2 linked regions of the Drosophila melanogaster genome follow. The protein of the gene in region 2 interacts with the protein of the main gene of each other region in a pairwise test. Each region holds a gene or a part of one and is shown on either strand. Other genes may lie near its edges. The genes, in order: ssp and ninaC.

What was found.
Region 1: the proteins of ninaC (region 2) and ssp interact in a two-hybrid assay, tested with the Drosophila melanogaster proteins (one large-scale study listed by BioGRID).

The regions. Positions count from the first base shown.
Region 1 is NT_037436.4:12,116,323-12,120,984, forward strand, and holds ssp (sunspot), read left to right. Parts: upstream 1-1,934; 5' UTR 1,935-1,992; coding exon 1,993-2,304; intron 2,305-2,365; coding exon 2,366-2,589; intron 2,590-2,649; coding exon 2,650-3,220; 3' UTR 3,221-3,467; downstream 3,468-4,662. Other genes in the region: vers (versatile), read left to right, coding at 1-137, 442-848, 922-1,049, 1,115-1,527; CG11560 (uncharacterized protein), read left to right, coding at 3,760-4,266, 4,321-4,662.
Region 2 is NT_033779.5:7,376,187-7,384,668, reverse strand, and holds ninaC (neither inactivation nor afterpotential C), read right to left. Parts: upstream 6,968-8,482; 5' UTR 6,804-6,967; intron 6,285-6,803; 5' UTR 6,269-6,284; coding exon 5,981-6,268; intron 5,886-5,980; coding exon 5,022-5,885; intron 4,964-5,021; coding exon 4,026-4,963; intron 3,958-4,025; coding exon 3,665-3,957; intron 3,606-3,664; coding exon 3,334-3,605; intron 3,267-3,333; coding exon 2,980-3,266; intron 2,914-2,979; coding exon 2,764-2,913; intron 2,709-2,763; coding exon 2,611-2,708; intron 2,548-2,610; coding exon 2,494-2,547; coding exon of another isoform or gene 2,330-2,493; exon of another isoform or gene 1,912-2,329; coding exon 1,724-1,911; intron 1,659-1,723; coding exon 1,243-1,658; intron 1,191-1,242; coding exon 914-1,190; intron 863-913; coding exon 482-862; 3' UTR 325-481; downstream 1-324. Other genes in the region: Wnt10 (Wnt oncogene analog 10), read right to left, coding at 7,410-7,597. UniProt on the Drosophila melanogaster protein: Required for photoreceptor cell function. The ninaC proteins combines putative serine/threonine-protein kinase and myosin activities. Essential for the expression and stability of the rtp protein in the photoreceptors.

The sequences.
Region 1 (4,662 bases), on a different chromosome or scaffold from region 2:
TCGCCCTAAACAGTCGCAATCGCAGTCTTGCTGCCGCCGAAAAGAAAACTCAGTCGCAGCTGTCATTCCCGCCAAAATCGGAGTACGAGAAGTTCTACGAGACCGTCTTCCTGGCGGAGGATTTGCAGCCGGAGGAAGTGAGTCCATCGCCCCACATGGGTTGTTGGGGTACTTACCCGGTTTTACCGAGTACAGCCACACACCAAATATCTTGTTTACCTATCCCACATGGGTGGCAATAGACCTGTTTACCTTTTCATAATGTGTTTTGGCACTACAAAGCGAGATTCGTTAAAACATGTGATAGGATATCAAATTTGACCTAATTTCTGTATGAAAGTCCACTTCAGTTACATAGTCCAACATGGACCACTAGCGAACATACTAAAATTCTAATTAATCACTCAGTAACCATGCTTCTAAACCAACTAACTCTTCTAGAATATAACACCAGAACGTCGTAAGCCAGGACCGCGCATGAAGAGCTCACTCCAAGCCCTGTTGAGCGATGAAGGATCACCGACGGGACCACAGCGAACCGCCAAGATAAACGTTGCACAGAAAATGGTCGTTGAGCCAGCGATCCGAGCCAATGGCATCTCGCCATTGCCCAAGAATGTTGGCAAGGAGGAAAAGTTTGAGGACTACTATACGAAAACGGAGCGACACGTTTGGAAAAAGGATGCGGAGAAGATGTTGCTGCAACTGTGGGCACAGCATTTGAAGGATTTTCGTGGAGAGTCCAAGAATGTGATCATCTACCGGCAAATGGCTAGGGAGATGAGTCAGTTTGGGCCCAGCCACACGGAGCTTAAAACCAAAATGGACAATTTGTCGCGAAAGTATAGGTGCGCTCTTATATTTTGCATACCAAAAGTTTTTATTTTTATAGTATATTAACTTTTATATTGGTATTTACAGAATAGAAGCTGAGAGAGTTCGGGAAACTGGAGTGCCATCCAAGTGGGAGCACTTTCATAAGCTTCAAGCACTTCTGATTGGCACGAAATCAGTTGATGTCTTCGAAGATATTACCGCCGAAAATCCAGGTAAAGTCGTAGTGCAATAAATGCTAGTTATGTCATTATGTCTTAAAAATACGCTAATTTTACAGCTCAAGCTTTGTTCAGCGATGAGGATTATGAGCCTGAGGAATTGTCTTCATTAAAAGACGAGCCTATGGCCGGGGACGATGGGAACGTATTCGAAAGTGATATGGTTGCTAGCAAAGCCATGAAAAGAACGCGAACTCCCTCTCCCAGTATTCCGGAAATCCCGGAAGAAGACGAGGAGGAGGAGGAGGAGGAGGAGGATGATGACCACATGAAGGATCTCTCCCCATCGCCAATTTCAAAATGTCAGACAAAACGGAAAGCATCGAACAACCATTCGGACAGACTCCTTGAAATAGAGGAGGAAAAACTGGCGATCGAGCGAGAAAAGCTGCAGGTTATGAAGGATGCACTGCTGGAGCTAAACGCATTTCACAAAGATATTGTTTATTTGCTTAAGCATAACAATCAGTAGTGTAAATATTAAGTGTTATACGTAGAAGTAGCGTGGTGTTACTTTTTCAGCAAAATATACAACTAAAACAGTGAATATTTAATGTAATATTGCTTCAACTTCAAATTAATCTAAATATATATATATATATTGTAAAAAGCTAGATTTTGCATTGTTATGATCTTACAAATTAGTTTCTTAAGTAAAAATAAATGCAATGAAATTATATTTTACTTTTTTTAGCAAAACTTTAATTACTTACTTTACTTTAATATTATAAATTTGTTTTAAATCGTATTTGTTACATTTAGTTTCTCAATTCGTAAAATGTTTTTTTATTTGTATTTTAGATATAATTTAAATCGATATCATAGAACTATCGATAGATATATGAAGCCAATACCGACCATTTCTAGAAAAATCGATATCGAGCTGCTGCCCATCTCTAGGCACATTTTGTTTATACTTTTCGAGCGTAAGGACGACATGATTGAGGCCCGCACGATGCAGGACGTATCAAAATTCGAATCCAACCAGGTGATCTCGGCGAAGGTGCTCCGCGGCGAGTACCGGCTACTACGACGCAAGCAGCGCGGCTCCGTGTGGAAGGTGTATCGGGAAATCGTGCGCACCGATGGTGCCATAATCAATGGACTCTACTTCTGCACGGGCTGCAAGCGCGTCATGCGATCCTTCAACACGTCCAATCTGCGCACCCACAAGTGCCATGTGGACTACCTGCGTACCGAGGAACTGTGCGAGGAGGGGATCGCGGAAATCCATCCCCCTAAACTAGACGTACGTACAACGACGCCATTAGAAGTCAATAGTAGTCCAAATTACCATGTCTCACTTGCAGGATTCGTTGGAGCGCCGCCTGAGCTGGAACTCCTTTCAGCCGTCCGAGTGGTCATTCCACGCGGTCGAACTGCTGCTCGAGCTTTGGGCAAGGCACTGCGTCGATTTGCGAGACTCACGCAAGCGGGTCCAGGTTATCTGGAAAATGACGGGCGAGATGAAGTCACTGGGTTTCACGTTCACGGAGATAAAGAACAAAATTGATGACATGGGCCAACAGTATCGGTAATAAGTGAATATACTTATTTAAGCATATTCCTTATCTAATATTACAATTTATTTCAGGCGAGAATCGCACATGGAAAAGACAACTGGACACAAATCCCAGTGGGAATACTTCGAGACCATGAAGATGATATTTAGTTCCGATCGTAACATAATTGACAATATGCCTCTGGATAAGTCTGGAAGTGCACCCAATACGACCAGCGAACACAATTCATTTGGCAGTCAACTTGACGAACCATTGATAGATAGGAACTACTTAAGGTCCCAAAAAGTACACCCTGGAGAAGGGGATAGCTTCGATATGAACGAATATGCGGATGAAGCACAAGAAGACGTGGATGAACTGCGTATTCTGAAGGATAACATAATCAGGGAAATCGAAGAGTCGTCCACAGTTCATTCCCAGGAAAACTATGAAGACGAGCTCGATCAACAGAATTCCAAGACCGAGGACATGAAAATTGCTAAGCGTCAAAGAGCTGCCAGAATTATGGAAATAGAGGAGGAAAAGCTGGTCATAGAGAGGAAAAAATGCAAACTGATGAAATTTTTCGTGCGAGAGATGTCGTCGTTTCATAAGGACTTCATGGATCTTCTATCTAATCCCAAAGGCGGCGCACATGCATAAATACCTGTTCGCGATTTGAGTGATTGCACAATAAAGTTCATTTCCACCGTTATTAACGTAAACTTAAAAGGCATCACATTCAACGAATTTTTAAAAAAATCATGTAACAGAAAGTTTAAATATCTCATTTCGGCAGTCACTCAATTTTTTATTTCAAATACGAATAAGTATAAAATGATTTGTGATTCATTGCGTTTTATTACAATTCAGCAGATATGTTTAAGATTTAATAAAATGAAGTCGTAATATCTTCGCCGTTTATATAATTTATTTATATATAAACCATGTATATCTGAAATTTGAAACGAAAAGTAGTGAAATAACTATTAATTTGATTGGTTTTAGAATATTTGTTGTAGATGACATTATATGTATTTTATTTTTTTAATTGTGTGGTTAATATTTTTTCTTTTCCTATTAAATTAAATTCGATACATGGTATTACATAGAATGTCGATATCGATTGTAATCGAACATCGCAACCAACTCACCGGTGATGCCACCTGGTTCGGAGCTCTGTGTTTTTAATTTTTTTTACTATGACCATAAGGATTGCGAGGCGAAATATGTTTTTCATACACGCCCCCGAGGAGGAGAAGTGCATGGAGGCGCAGCTGGACATCCTTATGAAGATCAACTCCGGTGAATATCGGCTGGTGAAGAAGAACAAGCGCAGTTCCGTTTGGAACGTCTACCGGGAAATCGCTCGTCCGGACGGCACCAAGTTGAAATGGCGATACTTCTGCATGGGCTGCAAGCGTGTGATGCAGAGCACCGGCGGCACCACCTCCAATCTGCGCATCCACAAGTGCCACGTACGGTATATCAAGCAGAACGGCCATCTCACCGACGGCAGTCACTCCTACGACCATGATCCCGCGCCACCAGCTAGCCAACCGTCGCCGCGCGTCCAGAAACCGAAGACCAGGCGGCCGACATCCTATTCTACGCAGTGTGAGCAGTTCTATGAGGTCACCATGGATCCGGAGACCCAGTACAGCGATCTGGATGATGAGATTGAGGCTTCTTTGGAGGAGGAGCAGACTGTAAGTACTGCACTTTTATACCCATACAAGTCAAGCTGAAACTACATAATTTAGATTATCCTGCAGCTGAAATCAAAACGTGAATTGGAATCCTCCCACTCCAGACCCCTGCTGAAGCTCTTCTCCGAGGAGAACTTGTCGACTGAACCAGAGGAGCCGGAAGACGAGATTGAGATTGTGGAGGCGGAAGATCAGGTGCCCATCGAGCTGGACCTATGTGACATCCAACATACTACATCCGATGCTGGCGGTGAGGCAATCGAACCCAAGCCAACGGAAAGTGTCGCCCAGTTCGATGCCAATGCCATTTCCGAAGCGGAATCCTATGCCAAAGCCTGGGCTCACGCCTTCCTGCGGCTGAACGAGGACCAAAAGTTCTACGCCAAGCGCTCCATA
Region 2 (8,482 bases):
TGTATAATGGATATAGTTTATGAAATACTGAGAGTATTGTTGTTGCGTTTTAGATCTTAAAGTGAGAAAAGTAAATCATTTAAATGATGTAACAAAGAAGCAAGCATAATAAGCAATGTTAATTCGTCGAATTTTTCCCATTTTTATCCTACGTCAATAAAATGCAAATTAATTGCTGAATTTATATCAATGTCTTTAAAGTTAAATGTTTGAGTATGCCAAGGTAGCATTTACCTACAAATAACCTAAATAATTAAGTGGTTTATAGAGATAGAAAAATGAAATGCGGTAAGAAAAAAGTGAAAATTTAAATAACGATTTATCCCAAGACATTTTATTTATTCCATTGTGTGAAACGTTTTTGAGAAAGTGATGAAGAAAACTTCAATCATTATTTTGGAATTTTAGGTGGGTTTTAGCTAAATTGTCTTATGGTTTGCATAACAATTAATTTTAATATTTTTACTCTTAATCACTAGTTTTAGATATCGACGGCATAGCCTGAAAGAGTGATTCCAGGTGCAATCTCCTCTTCTACATAGGATCCTGCCTCCTCGAAGGATCTAGCATTGCTATCTTCGAAGCTGCGACCCACGCTGGCTGGAGATTGTCTCAAGGTCGGAGCCCTCTGCTGCTGGCCAAACTTCCTAGACACACCATAGTTTCCCGATGATGAATTATAGCCCTCATCGTCTTGGTACCGGCGACCTGTCGAGCGTAGCTTGGGCGGCTGGAACGTGTGTTGGTCACCACTGTCCGATCCGCGGCGATTGTTAAAGTCATAGGTGTTGGTCTCGGATCCCCTCGGATAGTTAGTCTTGCGCAGCATAGCCTTGAAGTTGAATGGTGGATCCTCAGAGTTCTGGAAAGAAAATATCTGAAGAATTTCCTTAGGAAATTGACATACACTTACATCACCCTCGTTGCGAGCCATGTTCTGAAGTTCTCTAACTGGATCCGACGGAGGATACGAGGATCTTTGCTGATAGTTGCGTTGCTGCTGGTTCGGATTATTGCGATAATAGTTGGATGAGGGCATTGGTGGAGGAGGAGGTGGAGGCGCCGCATAGCCCTTCAAGGAGTTGCGCCTGGATCCGGATCGATGTACGCCCCAGTTCTGGTTGTTATAGTTGCTGTTATAGCTGTTGTAGGCATTGTTATAGGCATTCATGTTCATCTGCATTTGATTTCTGAAAAAAAGTGTTAGAAACTTAAGTTCAACCTTTGAGTATCTTTGCTAACCTCCTCAGCTGTTGGGGATCTCGGAAGTAGCCCTGATTGTAGATATTGTCGCTCTCGCCCATGCGATCCCAGTTGGTCTGGCAAGCCTGCTCCTTCTTATAGGCATTGTAGGTCAGGGCACAAGAAGTCATCGAAGGATTGCGTTGCAGAGGGCTGTCCCAAGGCTCATCGTCCTCCATGTGCTGCGTTAGTAGCTGATTGGGGAAGGCTTGGCGGGAAATGGAATTGGCCGGGTCCACCATATACTGGGTGTCATAGAAGGGTATCTGATCCAGGCGGAATGGCATCTTTTTTATGGGCACTGGCAGTGGTCCTAGCTGCGAGGAGTTCACTTCGCGCATATTGATCCTCTCGAAGGGCACAGCCCGAGTACATTTATTCAAGCCAGCCACCATTCGTTGGTTGTAGATGTGGACCTGGTACATAATATAATATATATATATATATATATTGGATTTGAAGATAAGAGATTTGAACTCACCTGCTGTGAGAGATTGACAAAGTCCTGGAAGCGAGCCGCGCGGTAGTGCAGGAGGACCTGGAAGATAGACTTCTCGCGCCATTTCTTGGCAAACGGACGGATAAAGTCGGCGGTGTTCTCGTTTAGTTGGCCGGACTTCTCGTTGACCAGCGGAGGGAGGCGGACGCGGTCGCGGAATCCCCTGAAGGCTGTGGGAAAATGGAAACGGAGGAAGGCCGTTAGAGTAACCCATTTGAAAAGCGGTCGCGGCGGTGGACGGTGGTGGTGAATGAGAGGGAAGTCACCTTAATTTAATTAAATTTTCATTTCTTTTCTACGCAGCACTTATAATTCATCTCTTTTCGCAGGGGCCGTCGATGTTAAGTGTTATGTCTCAGACAGCTATAAGCCGATTGGTTGCATCAGATGGAGAACACAACCGCCCAGCGGGATGGGGTGGGATGGTATCCACATTGGACACCACTAAGCGGCTTAAGTGGTTTGCCGAGGCCCTAGACTAGATGATAGCTGGTTGTTTGCGTTTTCTACATTTTATTGGTAGTCGTATTACGATTAGTATCGATCGATATAGTGATATAGTGTGTATAAATGGTATATAGTAGGGGCCTATTCCTCGGCGGAGGCCTGCTCGATTTTGGCTATTCGCACCGCTGCCAGAGCCTCATCCATTCTGGCCTCGAGGAACATCTCCTCCGCCTCCGAGGGCGTCTCGCTTATGTCGATGTGCTCCTCGTCGTACTCTCTTAGCCTATCCACCTGCGTTTTTTTACCTTTTTGTATTTTGGACGCGGCCACATCATGATGCTCCGGTCCCTTTTTGCCCACTAATAGGGAATTTAAAATTAGATTTCATACCATATACTGTATAAGTATTATTTATATCTTACATTTGAAAACTTTGCCGCCCTTAACTCGTTTCCGTGCTAGCAAAGCTCGCATCATGGACTGCACTTTGATGACCTTCTTCACCTGCAGCTCATACAATCTGAAAGCAATTGATAGTACTTGCTTTTCTCAATGCGTATGAATTGATAGCTCACCTGGCTAAGAACTCATCGTTATAGTAGCGCAAAAACACCTTGGTCTTGCCCAAGGCCCAGCCTTCCATCTTGAGGCGCAAGAATAATAGACGACAGTTATCCTTGGTCATTTCCACGGGCTCATCAAAGTCAAAGGCAAGGAATTGGTATCTAATACGAATATTTTAAATATTTAGAAATCTTTAAATGGAAACTGGAATGGAATCGATTACCCACCGCCTTAGGAACTCGTCGAATGGCAGACGCGAGCTGAATCCCTTCTGGCGAGCAATAACAGTGTCCAGAACTCCCAAGGCCTTCATCTGTTGCTGGACGACATCCGAGTGGAAGGATCTGGGCTTGTACTCCAGATCAGCGCGAATGCAGCGAACGAAGTGCACGCCGAGATTTGCATTCTGGCTTAGCATTTTGAGCAGGGTCAGGCAGGTGAAGCGGAAGTTGGCCGCCAGGGTACGTAGATTGTTCACTTGGGAGATGCATCCGGCACTTAGGGTATTCAAGGCCTGAAATGCATAGTTTACAAAAATATACCAAATTTAGGTTAGCTAATAAAAACTGTGACAGACTTACATATGACTTCCGTTCAGATTCATCCTTATGCTGCACTGCCTCGAATGGCATGGTGAGATTGCCAGCCTTGGTCAGTTGATTGGTGAACATGAGCATGATGCTCTCATCCAGCGAGGAGCGGAAGGTCTCGATCATTTCCGGCGGCACAAAGTCCCGGTTGATGTCGGTGAAGGCGCGCGTATCATAGATGATGCGGCCCGTGTAATGAGCCACGGATATTTCAGTGGCAGTGTGCTTCTTCACAAACTGGCTGTGCTTCTCCGAAACGCGATCTGTAGATGGAAAGTGGTTAAATCACATATCCAAAGTGGTGCCAGAATTGGTTGTATACCCATAATCAAATCCTGATCTTGACAGGAGCGTGAGGCATCGTCAATGATGTAGAACAGGCCATCCGGTTTGGTTAGCAGATTATCCAGAGCTGTCTTGTTGTCATAGAAATTCAAGTTGATGGTGTCAATGTCTTCAGCTTCCATTTCCAGCATTTCGCTGATAAAAATACGTTGATTGTAGTGATATTGCATTTGCTCGTTTAGAGTATTGATCATTAGTTGCTCCAGACCATTTCGATTAAAGCACTCAAATCCAAACATGTCGTGAATAATGATGGCATTTGTGTCTCCGCTTAAAAAGTTATTTAAGCCACATTGTTAAACTTATGAATTTGTAACTTTTTTTTTAATATTACTTACAACACAGCCCGTGGGAAGGACATGTTCATGTTAATCCTGTTGATGATAAAGTCCACCAATCGAGAGTAGAGCGTGCTGGCCACCGCATCGCGTGCATCCCTAGCTTCTTCAGTGGTGTACTGTCGCCTCTCGGCGATCCCGCCCTTGACCATAATGAAGTTGGTCAGAGACCACATGAACTTTTTCTCATCCACACGGAGGAGCTCGGCGATCCGGGACACAATGTCCGTGTTCTCCACTTCCGCATACTTTCCGTTCTGCCGGAAACGGATGTTGCCAATGTTCAAAATGGCAGCCAAAACTTTGCGAACGGTCTCCAATTGCTTGTGATTGAAATCAATGTCCCGCAGGATGTTCTCGAACTCCCTGTACCTCTCCACATTGCCCTCGGGATCATCACGACGATACTTGAGTTTCGATGGCGGAACCTCTGGCGGAACTCGCAGATAACGATAATTGCGATCAGCCTTCAGATTGTACTCCTTAAGCTGATTTTGCTGATTAATAAAGTCGTAGAAGTAGTAGAAGATGTGGAAGTTGTGCTGGGTTCCGTCCGTAGTGGCCACTCGTAGTTTCTCCAGCATATACATATTAAAAACGGCCCCACTCATTTTGCCGGTTTTTCCAAAGGTCAAGCAATATTGTAGGACACATCTTGTGGAGTCGTTGTTTACCGGAGTTCCTGCATTCACCAACATCAGGATGGCCTTGATGGAGCTCTCCACGCGCCCGGTGGCCCCACGATTTCCATCACCCAAGTAGCACAGATGCTTGATTAGCAGCCGGGCATTTGTGGACTTGCCCGAGTAGCTCTCTCCGGAGAGCACGATGTGTTGCGGCTCCTTATGATGCAGCATATCCTGGTAGGCGATATCGGCCACCGAGAAAATATGCGGCTGGTTTTCCGAACGCGACTTGAAGCGATACTTGGCATGGAACTAGAGAAAGGATAAATATAACATATTTAAGTATACATATTAGATGTTTTCAACTTACCTCCTGCGGAAATTCCTGCTTGATTTCATTGGAATTCAAGGATAAAAGGATATCGCCAATGAAACTGTACGATTCCCCCATCAAAATGCGATGACGCAGTGACTCGATTATGTTTTCATCCACGGGATTTTCCAAGGCAGCCAAGTCCTCCGGATACATCTTTTCCGGCTTCTCATCGAACCTCTTCACATAGCCGCGGTCCACGAACAATTCCGGCTCCTTGTACAAAGTCTTTACATCCCTAGAGAGTTCCAACATTTCTGCGATGTCCGATCGCATCTCGTCCTCGTTTTCGATGAGCTCCGTGAGGAATGGATGCTCCACCATCTCAACCATCATGGGCCGATTTTCGGCATTTTTCTCCAAACTCTCGGATATAAAATCATTGATCTGCTGCGACCAATTAGTGGGTCGCATTAAGGTCGGCGGTGGATTGCGAATGATCTGGAACATGGCCCTAGTGGGATGCATGTCAGCGAACGGTGGCTTTCCATCGGCCAACTCAATGGTAGTGATTCCCAAGGCCCAGACATCGGCACGAACGGTGATGTCCGGTTCGCGGGATTCCATGGCGGACACCACTTCGGGAGCCATCCAGCAGGGAGATCCAATGCAGGTGCCCCTCTTGCCCAGAGTGGAATCCACCTGACGGGATAAACCGAAATCGCACAGCTTGACCCGTCCATTTTTGGTCAACAATATGTTATCTCCCCGAATGTCCCGATGCAGGACATGATTACGGTTCAGCTCGATGGCAGCACGGCAAGTCTCCCGGATAATGTAGGCGATGTGCTCCTCTCGCATTCGACGATCCAGTTTCAAAAGCTTGTTAACCATGTCCACTGCTGTTCCCCCAGCGCAGTACTGAAATATTCAAATGGTTTATATAAATTACAAAAAATTGGATTTAAATTTTTGGAAAAAATTTAATAAAATATTAACAAAATGTTTTGACTCACCTCCATGACAAACCAGATCTCATCAGGTCCGTTTGGCTTCGACAGCTTGTAGACGCCATAGAACTCGGGAAGATTGGGATGGTCGCAGTAGTCCCGCAGAGTGCGATACTCCTCCTCGATGGAAACCTGGTGCTCCTCATCGTAGTGCTGAATCTTCAGGGCAACGATCCGATCATTGTCGAGCTCCTTGGCCCGAAAAACCTTGGCATTGACGCCTTGGGCTATCTCCTCGTAGATCTCGAATTTATCCGTAGGATCCGGCAATTGCGCGTACGGTAAATACATCATGACTTAGATGCTTATTCTGAATATTCGAAGAACATGTGGGTTAAACTTGGGAATTGGGTCTATCATAAAATGGGCTTCAAAGGTTTTCTTTTTCAATTTTCCCTCATGCAAATCGCATTATATTTGGGTTCATTGTTGCAAAACACTTAAGAATGGGCATTCTAGAGGTTTCATTGTAATCTTTTGCTTCTAATAACAATTTGCTTTTTCTTTAAAGGTGAAAGTTAAGTTACTTTGGTTTACTTAACGTAAGGATATTTTGGAATGTTTGCTTTGCAAGCACGAAAGATTTCAAGGACCTTTAAACAAATAAGATGCAATTTTGAAATGTAAAATTATAATAAAACCATTTTCTATAAAACACTTAAATAATTCATGTGAAAACGAAAAAGTTAAATGTACGATTTATCCTTGGTAATTAATCCTTCCTAGGTTTGTATTTTGAATCAGCAACTTTGGATAAAGGGATTCTAGGGGGTTATTTGTATTATATCCACTTCACAGGGCTTCAAACACTTAATCCTTCAGGACACACCTTCGCTGCCGCAGATTGGCACACTTATCCTGCAGCTGTGTATTTTTGGTTGCAAGGATGTACTTGTGTGGAACTTCGAACCGACCGCACGCATGCAGCACGTACCGCTGCCGTTAGCCAACTAAATGATGGGCCAATGCAATCGGAGGCTTTTCACTGGCAAGGAAGGAAGCCATTCAATGGGCAGTACCTGGGTGCACACCTTGGACAACTATTTAGCTGGCTAATTCAATTAGCGGCGGCGACATTCACGTGCAAGTGAAAAAAGCGGCGACACAGATGGCCAAAATGCCGAGGTGAAAGGGAAATTGGCAATGCGAGTGAAAGTCAGCTGATTGACAGACTAATTATGCATCTTATTGTTCGTATTTACAAAATATATTTATACGTATTCCAAATGGCTGGAGATTGCTAAACTAGGCATTGCATTCACACACGTTGTTTATTGATGTTTGCCCTATTGCGTACTTTATGTTTTTTTTTCTGTAATACTGATTTCTTTGTGTGTTAAGTTCTGTGAGAATGAAGAAAAGTCTTTTCTTATGCATGTGGCTGAGGCTCCATCGCTCCATCACTTCATCGTCCTTCGTCTTGCGTCCATTGTCCTTAATTGCATATGCTAATCCATTCCTCTACGTGGCACTCCTCGCACTCCACATTACAGCACCATTGGAATTTACAGTGACACCGCTCCGCCCTCCGCTGGATGACCTGGCTGTGGCCACGGCCACAGCAGAGGGAGGTGCATCCGTCGCTGGTCGTGGTGTTCCGATTGCACTTGCGTCCCACGGTGCCTGTGCGGAAATTGGCTCAGATTAGTCATGTTTATGTTTTTCTAAAGATATAATCATCAGAAAAGAAAATTATGTGGTATCTATTAAAATATAAAAATAACAAGTTAATAAAATTAGTGGTGTAAGATTTGCGTAATTAGCAAATGATTAAGTGTTCTCATCAAATGCAATCCATCGCCAAATGGCAGTTAATCCCGCCTACTGGCGGACAAGCAATTAAAAGACCATAAATAAACTATTAAACTAAAGCACAAACAAAGTATCATAATTGTTTGGCCGACGATAATTGCCAGCGTTAATTGCTATCATTTGAATAGACACGACACCGGACACGGACACATGAATCAAAACGCCCGATGGGCTGGCTGCTCCCCAGTTCACTGCTGTTGGAGCCTGAGTTGGAGCTTGAAGTGAAGCTGGAGTTACCGGGCTAAGCCGACGATTAATTATAAATTTGCGTCGTAATTAACACTTTTAAACTGCTGGCAGTTGGCGGGGCAGCAGCGACGCTTGATAATTTGCAAATGTGTCAACAGCAAAATGGCTAACGAAAATTGCAAGTGGCAGTTAGACGTCGATTTCGATGTGAACGTGCCGCAGTTTCGACCGATCCCCCAAGCCAGAGTACAAGCAAGGGGGGAGAAATGAGGGGATACAATTAACCCAAACTCATTTCCAAGCATAAAAAGTAACGATTTTCTTTTAGTATGTTTCGGCCAATTGTAGTTTAGATAACATATCAAAAACCTTTATTTTAAGAATGTCAAATAAGAACCCCCCTCAGATTTTCAGTCTCCGCCACTGCTTTATACAATCCAAACTGAGTTGAGCTGATCCGAACCAATCCAATCCGATCCGATCCAAACTGAGCTAAGCTAAGCTGAG